Alligator mississippiensis: one gene and its partner. The protein of the gene in region 1 interacts with the protein of each later gene in a biochemical or structural test. Links are inferred from orthologs where the notes say so. Each region holds a gene or a part of one and is shown on either strand. Other genes may lie near its edges.

Evidence for each region.
Region 2: the proteins of LZTR1 (region 1) and KRAS form a complex in vitro, tested with the Homo sapiens proteins (2 studies listed by BioGRID, with this or other methods). The link is inferred for Alligator mississippiensis from reciprocal best matches to the Homo sapiens genes LZTR1 and KRAS.

Annotation. Positions count from the first base shown.
Region 1 is NC_081837.1:32,892,497-32,896,407, reverse strand, and holds the start of LZTR1 (leucine-zipper-like transcriptional regulator 1), read left to right. Parts: upstream 1-833; 5' UTR 834-848; coding exon 849-1,036; intron 1,037-1,125; coding exon 1,126-1,188; intron 1,189-3,029; coding exon 3,030-3,086; intron 3,087-3,911. UniProt on the Homo sapiens protein: Substrate-specific adapter of a BCR (BTB-CUL3-RBX1) E3 ubiquitin-protein ligase complex that mediates ubiquitination of Ras (K-Ras/KRAS, N-Ras/NRAS and H-Ras/HRAS).
Region 2 is NC_081827.1:127,854,429-127,858,339, reverse strand, and holds the start of KRAS (GTPase KRas), read left to right. Parts: upstream 1-1,511; coding exon 1,512-1,622; intron 1,623-3,911. UniProt on the Homo sapiens protein: Ras proteins bind GDP/GTP and possess intrinsic GTPase activity. Plays an important role in the regulation of cell proliferation.

The DNA of each region.
Region 1 (3,911 bases):
TGGGCTGGGCTTTGCCACCCCAGGTTAGCACCTTCTGAAAGACTGGCACAGGCAGGCAGGGGGTTTGCTTGTAGTCTGGTCTAGGTTGCAAAGGAAGAGTTTGGGGGTAGGAAGAATGGGTGTGGGGCAAGATGTGCACTGGGCATAAAAGGAAGTGCAGGGCACAAGGATGCTCCCTTTGAGAACTGGTGTTAGTCAAGGAGCCAGGGGAGAGGGCTGGGGCTGGCTCCAAGGGTGGCCAACAAGAATTTTTCCCCCAGTACTGGAGATTGCTGTGTATGTGCCCAGGCTCCTACTGGGACTCCTATCCAGAGGTTTCTGGCTGGAGGGTCTTGGCTGAGGCTCAGGCCGTTTGCTATTTTTGCGATCAAAGTAATTTCTTCTCCTGGTCAACTTGGTGCAGGCTGGGGTTTCGCACTGCGCATGCGCAGGAGCTGCTGTCTCGCCCCCGCTCCATGAGCCCTGCGAGTATTGTCTTGGCCGCGTCTTCCTCGCAGGGCATGTCGGGAGCTGAGGTCCCCGCTCCGGGCTGCGATGCAGAGCATGCCGGGAGTTATAGTCTTCCTCTCTCACCATCCTGCCGAGCGCAGAGTATGTCGGGAGTGGTAGTTCCTTCCCCGGCCTTGGGCATGTTGGGAGTTGACATCTCCCCGCCCTCCCGCAGTCTCGGGGCGGGGCATGCCGGGAGTGGTAGTCTCCATCTTTCCTAGCGCAGAGCATGTCGGGAACGACAGTTCTTTCCCGAGCCCTGGGCATGCTGGGAGTTGGCGTTCGAGAGCCCTCCCACAGGCTCGGAGCGGGGCACGCCGGGAGCCGCAGGGCATGCCGGGAGCGCCCGTGCCGGGGCGATGGCAGCGGCGGGGGGCGCGGGGCCGCTGTCGGGGGGTGCGGCGGGGCGCTCCAAGGTGGCGCCGAGCGTGGACTTCGACCACAGCTGCTCGGACAGCGTCGAGTACCTGACCCTCAACTTCGGGCCCTTCGAGACGGTGCATCGCTGGCGCCGCCTGCCGCCCTGCGACGAATTCGTGGGAGCCCGGTGCGCGCCGGGGGGGGCCGGGCGGGGGAGGGAGGGGGGGCCGGGGCCCGCGGGTAGGGCCCTCCCTGACCGCCGCTGTCTCCCCGCAGGCGCAGCAAGCACACGGTGGTGGCCTACCGCGATGCCATCTACGTCTTCGGCGGTGACAACGGGTGAGCACGGGGTTTAAACTCAGGCGACCGTCATCTGCCCGCGGCCTCATGTCGCGGGGCAGGGAGCTGATAGCCACAGCCCCCAGCTGCCCGCGGGGCAGGAATGGGGCACACTCTGCTCGCCCTCCCCAGCGGTCGGTCGGCTGGCCGTGCTTGACAGGGTCAGGGCAGGAGTGCCAAGGCTGCTGGACCCCTGAGAGTGGGCAGCGGGGGCGGGTGCAAGCATAGCCACCGCCTAGTCGCAGCTGACCCAGTTGTTGCCGCCAGCGCTGCTGTAACCAGCAGTCCCTGCCCCCCGAGAAGAGGAATAGCGTTGTCGTTGATGCCCTTTGCTACGGCAGTTATGGAGTCTGCACCCACTTGCTTGAGGCTGAAAAGAAATGCATCTGTTACAGCTTAGTTATATGCACAGCATGGCAGCGCGCCCTCGGAGCCACCGCCCAGCTTTATACACAGTGGGCCGGTCTACATGTGCATGAACGTGCTTTAGTTACTGCGCATTAAATCTGCGACCTCCACTGTGAGGTACTAGGAAAATGCATGTTAGCTAGTCTTAATGAGCAGAAACTAAATAGCATAGTTTTTCTAGTGATGCTTTAATGAACATTAAAATAGGTTAATGCGCATTTAAGTGCACATGTGGATGCACCCAGACTCATCTTAAAAGGATTTGAAAGGCCACATCTTGCAAGCTGTTGCTTCCTCTGAAGAAGCAAGGCAAGCTGTAGCTTCATTCCCTCCCCTTCGTACATACCGTCACGCCAAACGGTAGCAATTTCAAGTATCTAACAGCTCAAGCTGTTTATGGAAGATGTGGAACAAGATTCCCTGCTGCTGTTCTTCTGTAGGGCTCATTAGAGTAATTATTTTCAGATTTTAAACTGCAGAGGCTTAAGATATTTGGTCCTTTGTAAGAAATGCATTGATTTGTGTTTTCAAGATGTATTGTTCTTCACTGTAAGCTTCAAGATCCTCTTGAACAGAGCATATGTCCTCACAGGCCTTGAAGTTTCCAGAGACCTCCTGCTGTTGATGCTTGTACTCTATTTGCTATGCCTCTGCCTGCCCATGGTAGGGGGCTGTGCTTGACAGCTGTGACTGCCCTGCTCTGCCAAACAGCTGGTCAGGGATTGTTCAGGGGCAGCTGCAATGGTGAGCAGAGCTGTACCTCTGCTCCTGACAGCTGTGACAAACTTACTGATGACATGATGAGCTGCCAATCATCTGTTTGACAGAGCAGGACACCTGCGACTGTAATAGCCATCAAAGGGAACAGAGATGTAGCTCTGCTTGTGATGCCCTGTCAGGCAGTCCGTTACTCTCCTCCCTTGCCCTGAAACGGGGAGGGAGAGCAGAGCTTTCAGGGATGCTGGGAGTCTTGGGAGCATTTCTGTTGTACTACATGTGACTGCCTGTGCTTTATGGAGCACCACAAAGAAGTTTTGGTTTGAAACAGTAGCTTTGTTGTGGAGGATCTGCCATTTTTGTAGCGCTATAAACAGCCTGGATCTCTGTACACTTACTATTTGTAGTGCTATAATATCACACAAAGCACTGTAAAATAATGTGTCTGAGGCCTAACATGGGACTTGTAAATCACTACAAAAATAATGCGTCTAATCCTTGGAGCTAGAATATGCAGGTGGCAAGCTGGAACATAGAGTCTTGAGTATGTCTCCTTGCACAAATGCTTTACAATTCAGTTCTTGATTATGTAGTGATCACGTACTACATTTCCAAGAGGACTGAGCAGTCAGAGTTTTCTACACAGCTCTACTTTGTGTTTGTCCCACATACATAGCTAAGTGCTGATTACATTTTCCTACTGTATTTCATTTCAGAAAAACAATGTTGAATGACCTGTTAAGATTTGATGTGAAAGATTGCTCTTGGTGCAGGTATGAAAATGTTTTTTTGTTTGTTATTGACCGAGTTTCTGAACCTTGCATTCCTTAACAGCTGTTCAAAATGAGTTAACCAAAGTACATTTTTGCTTTGGGCTGTAGTTGTTTTATTTTCCCTGTGTTTTTGATGCTTATCTCTGTTCCAGTCCTTTTACATTAGATAAATAGGGGAGATCTGTGTAAAAGAGTCTCTTAGAGTTTTGCATCCAGCAGAGAGAGGATTTTCCTTGTGCATGGTCAGTCATAATGCTTGTTCCTGTATGATCCTCACCAGCAGTAGAGTTTGTGGCGTGTCAGGTGCAGGGCTGAAGGCAAGATTTCATGTTGGAGTGATGCTGCAATTTGCAGTGCTGCAGAAATTCTGTGACATTAGTTCATAGAACAGTACCAGAAGGCTGCTTCTTCAGAAGTGTCTATCTGACATGTAGGGGAAGGATTGCTTCTCCTTTCCTTCAGCCCCAGAACTGCCCAGGATTGGAAGAATGCAAAGATGTCTTTTAAAGGCACCTTAGCCTCATTCTTCCTGCTGAGTCGTGGTTTCTGTCCTGTCCCCTGGTATCCATACAGAACCTTGTAGAATTTATTTCAGCATTAACCTTTAAACTTTGCATGACTTCATACAGTCCCTGTCACTCAAAGTGTCTGTGGCCAGCATGTGCCATCATTTTGTCAAGCAAATTGCATTATTTACTGCACCACTGGATCTCAACCAGCCATAAGCAGTGCCTTTATCCTTGAGCATGACTGCTATTTCATGCAGAAATTTCTGTTTTAGTTATTTTCACTGGTAGTAACCTCTCATTTAGCCAGCATGTAGGT
Region 2 (3,911 bases), on another chromosome or scaffold:
TAGACTAATCTTTTCGTCGTCCTGGCAAGGCATGGATCAAGAAACCGCGAGTTAGGAGAGGCCCCGCGCGGCGCCCGCACGTGTCCGGCGGAGAAAGCAGTGGGGCGGCCCCCCCCCCCCGGCAAGGCGGGGAGCGCCGAGCGCATGGATGAGCCAATCCGTGCGCTCGGCGCTCCGCCTCCCCGGGCAGCGCTCGCCCGGCCCGCCCCGGCCCCGCCATTTCAGACCGGGCCGCCGAGGGACGCGCAGTGTCCCGCCCCGCCCCACGCCGGGGGCCACAGCAGAGCCGGCCGCGGCCAGGGCAGAGCCGCAGGCAGGCATGTAGCGCGGCCAAGCGGGGCGCGGGGCTCGGGGCCTAGGGGGCGGCTGCCTGGGAGCGGGACCGCGGGCGGCGCTAACAGGCCCCCGGGGGGCCAAGGCCGGACAGGTGGCACCGCCCGGCACCTCCCGGCCCGGTACTGCTCCTGCATGGACCGGCGGGCAGCGCCTTGTGCAGGCACCTCCCACCCCCCGGCGCTGCGCCGGGCAGTCCACACCCCACCTCTTCTCCCCCAGCTCGCTCTCTCTCTCAGCAGCTCTTACACATTCCCCAGCTCACCCCCACCTAAGCCAGCTCCATACACCCCAGTCTTTCCCCCAGTCCAGCTTGCTCACACACCCCTCTTCCCCCTAGCCCAGCTGTCTCTTTAACACGTGTGCATGTATGCGTGTACGTGCCCGCCCCTCCTCCCCCAAGCCATCTCCCTGGCCCCCCAGGGATGAACCTGTAAGCACCTGACGAACAAAGACGCTGCCCCTCCCTGGCTCCTGTCAGCTCCTTGGCTCTTAGTGGCCTCTTAGGGTTTTCCTGAGAGTCCAGGTAAGACCCTGGATGTTGTTCCAGCAGCCTTGTAATCCTCTGCACTGAATAGGAGCCCCCAAATCAGCAGTGATATGTTGCTGCTTGCCCAGAGAACGGTGTCAAGGTGAGCTCCTGTGCTTAACTCCAAAAAAAAAAAATGTGGAGGGAGTTCTTTATAGCACTTCACTTTGGTGAACTCGCTGAAAATCTTAAAGTAACAGCCTCACTTAATCCAATTCATAAATATTTTTTCAAATCCAGGGAAACATCTCCCCCAATTCCTTAACATTTCTTTTTTTTAAAAACAGCTGATCACAACATGAGCCGGAACTTTGTATGTTTCACTCTGCAAGAACAAATGTCCAGCTGTTACCAGAATGTAATGCATGATATTAATAACTAGTTTTTAAGTTCAGCAGTAACCAATAGGTGCAAGTATTGTTGATCTAAATCTTTATGTGTATTGATTGAGAAATAGAAATAACATCCCCTTCTGGATGTGCATCTGAAAGAGAGGACAAGAGAGATGGGAAACTTCTTTTCCTTTATACCTAGTGTAAAGTGAATTGAGGGATGGCTATTAAACTAGCATTATTCTCAATGAATTGAAACAAAGTTTTGTTTTACTTACACTTGATTTCTTTTTTTCTCCTTACCAGGGCTGCTAAAAATGACAGAATATAAGCTTGTCGTTGTTGGAGCTGGTGGCGTAGGCAAGAGCGCCTTGACAATTCAGCTAATTCAGAATCATTTTGTGGATGAATATGATCCTACAATAGAGGTAGACAGTTTCATTGTAACAGCATGTACATGTTTTTATAATACAAGAGGCAGATTGATTTTTCTCTCCTGTTGGTACTGTTTTTGTGATATTTGTGAATAGGCAGTGTAGTATTCTTCTCTTCTCTCAAGTACATTGTGGGATACACTTGAAACTAGATTTGAGGCCCTAGATTTTAGTCTATTAAATATTTATTTGAGAGTTGTTTTGTTTTAGGTTGGTTTTTTTTTTAATAATTCTGTAAAACAGTACTGCCTTTTTAATTGTAAGGGAAAATACTGATGATGGCAGAAATCTCAAGTGGATCAGAGTACTTGATAAACACAATTCCCTGCACAGGATCAGAAACAACACTATAGTTGGAATGCTGTGTTTTCTTCCCTGGAGTCAAATTATGTGCATTGTGTTTTGCAAAACTGGGAATGCACGGATAAAGATTTTTTTGGCCAATACCAATGGCCAATTATTAACCAGCCATATCAACCGATACCAATCCAATAGCTGATATGCAGCCTAGCAGCATGGAGAGCAGTGCCCAGCCAGTGAGTCTGTTGTTGTGGGGGGAGAGGGCAGGATGGGGCTGCCTGGGCAGGGCAGGGGCAGAGCTGAGAGGCATGGGGGGCATGTGCCCCCCTGCATTTGTGTGCAGGGTAACGGTGGGCTGCCCACTGCAGGCTTGGAGCCAAGGGCTGTGTTGGCCTCTTCTCAGTGGGGGGCCTGGGCTGTGCTCAGGGTGGGCAGGGCAGACCAGCAGCAGCACTAGAGGGGGAAGGGGGAGGCTACAGGGTGGGCTACAGTGAATTTGGGGTGGCTGTAGCCCACACCATGTCCCTCTTCCCAGCATCACTGCTGCCTGTCCTACTCTGCCCCAAGCACAGCCCCAGCCCAGGCCTCTCGCAGGGAAGAAGCCAGCTCAGCCCCTAGCCCTGAGCCCACTGCGGGCAGCTTGCCCTTGTCCCACACACAAATCTAGGGGCACTTGCCCCCCATGCCTCCCCTGAGGTGTGCACAGCTGTGAGGAGCTGTCCTCCTCTCTGCCTCCCCATGCCCAGGCCTCTCCTGTGCTCTGCCCCAGCTGGGCAGTGCCTGCTCCATCCCAGTTGTCTCTCACTTTGGGGGCCTTGATCTGCAACCCTCCATGTCCCTTCCCCCACAGACTTACCAGCTGGACTGTGCTTTCTAAGCTCCTGGGCTGCATTCCCTGCCAATTGCACGCTGTGGCTGTGTGAGTGTGCACGGCATTTATCGGTGACGTTGTCAGCTACATCAGCCAAAAAAGCCAATAGTTGATAATGTCAATTTTCCTTTTATCAGTGCCGATCCGATATGGACCAATATATTGGTATACCTCTATGCAAAACTGCATAAAATCTGTGCCCCAAAGAGATCCCAATCTAATTTGACATGATAAAATGCAGTAGACGTAAGTGCAAGGGTAGGACTTGGTAATAGGGTTGTAAATTAAAAAAAAAAAAGATAGAGACTTGGTGGGCATAGATGAAGAGCATCTGGTTGGTAACACAGGGGCGGCCCTTCTTGTGTCATCTTTAAAAATGTAGTGTGTGAAGCTAAGAATAAAGGAAATGGATAGAAGTAGCATGGCATTTGTGACTGCTTATTCTTGCCAAAGGACCTTGTCTCTGAAGTAAGAAGTCTCCATAATAGAAACTTACGACTTAACTACCATGATTGTGCAAAATCAGAGTTTTGCTTAGATACCCAGGACTTGTATGACATGGATATTTCATATCAGAATTGAGACGTTACTAGAACTGAGAGAAGCCCAGTGGCTGTTGTTTGGTCCCTATCACTGGTAGTATCCAGCTCAGGACACTGTATTTGTTCAGAATGTTAAAATGAAACTACTTTCCAGGTGGTGGAGGGGAAGTAATCTTCCTAGAAAATGTTGCTTTTATTCTTGAAAGCTTTCAGACTAACTGCACAGGATGACCTGAACATTATTTTGTGATCCAGTAATTGGGAAAATGTTTGTGCATTGCTGTACTAAAGACCACCCCCGCTTCAGTGTTTTACCTTCATATACTATTTGATCTAGTAGTAGTCTTCCAAATGTTACTTTAGTGGATACTGTCTGAACAGGTGGAAAAAATTATATCTAATATCTATAAAATAACATGTTAGATTGTAGGACCTTCAGAACAGCGACTGTACCTTTTATATGTGTACCAAAGCACCATGCATGCTTACAACACTAAAAGCATATCCAAGCTTGTAGGCAAGGCATCATTTAATTAGAAAATTCCCTTGTCATTCAAGGAGAAGTGATCA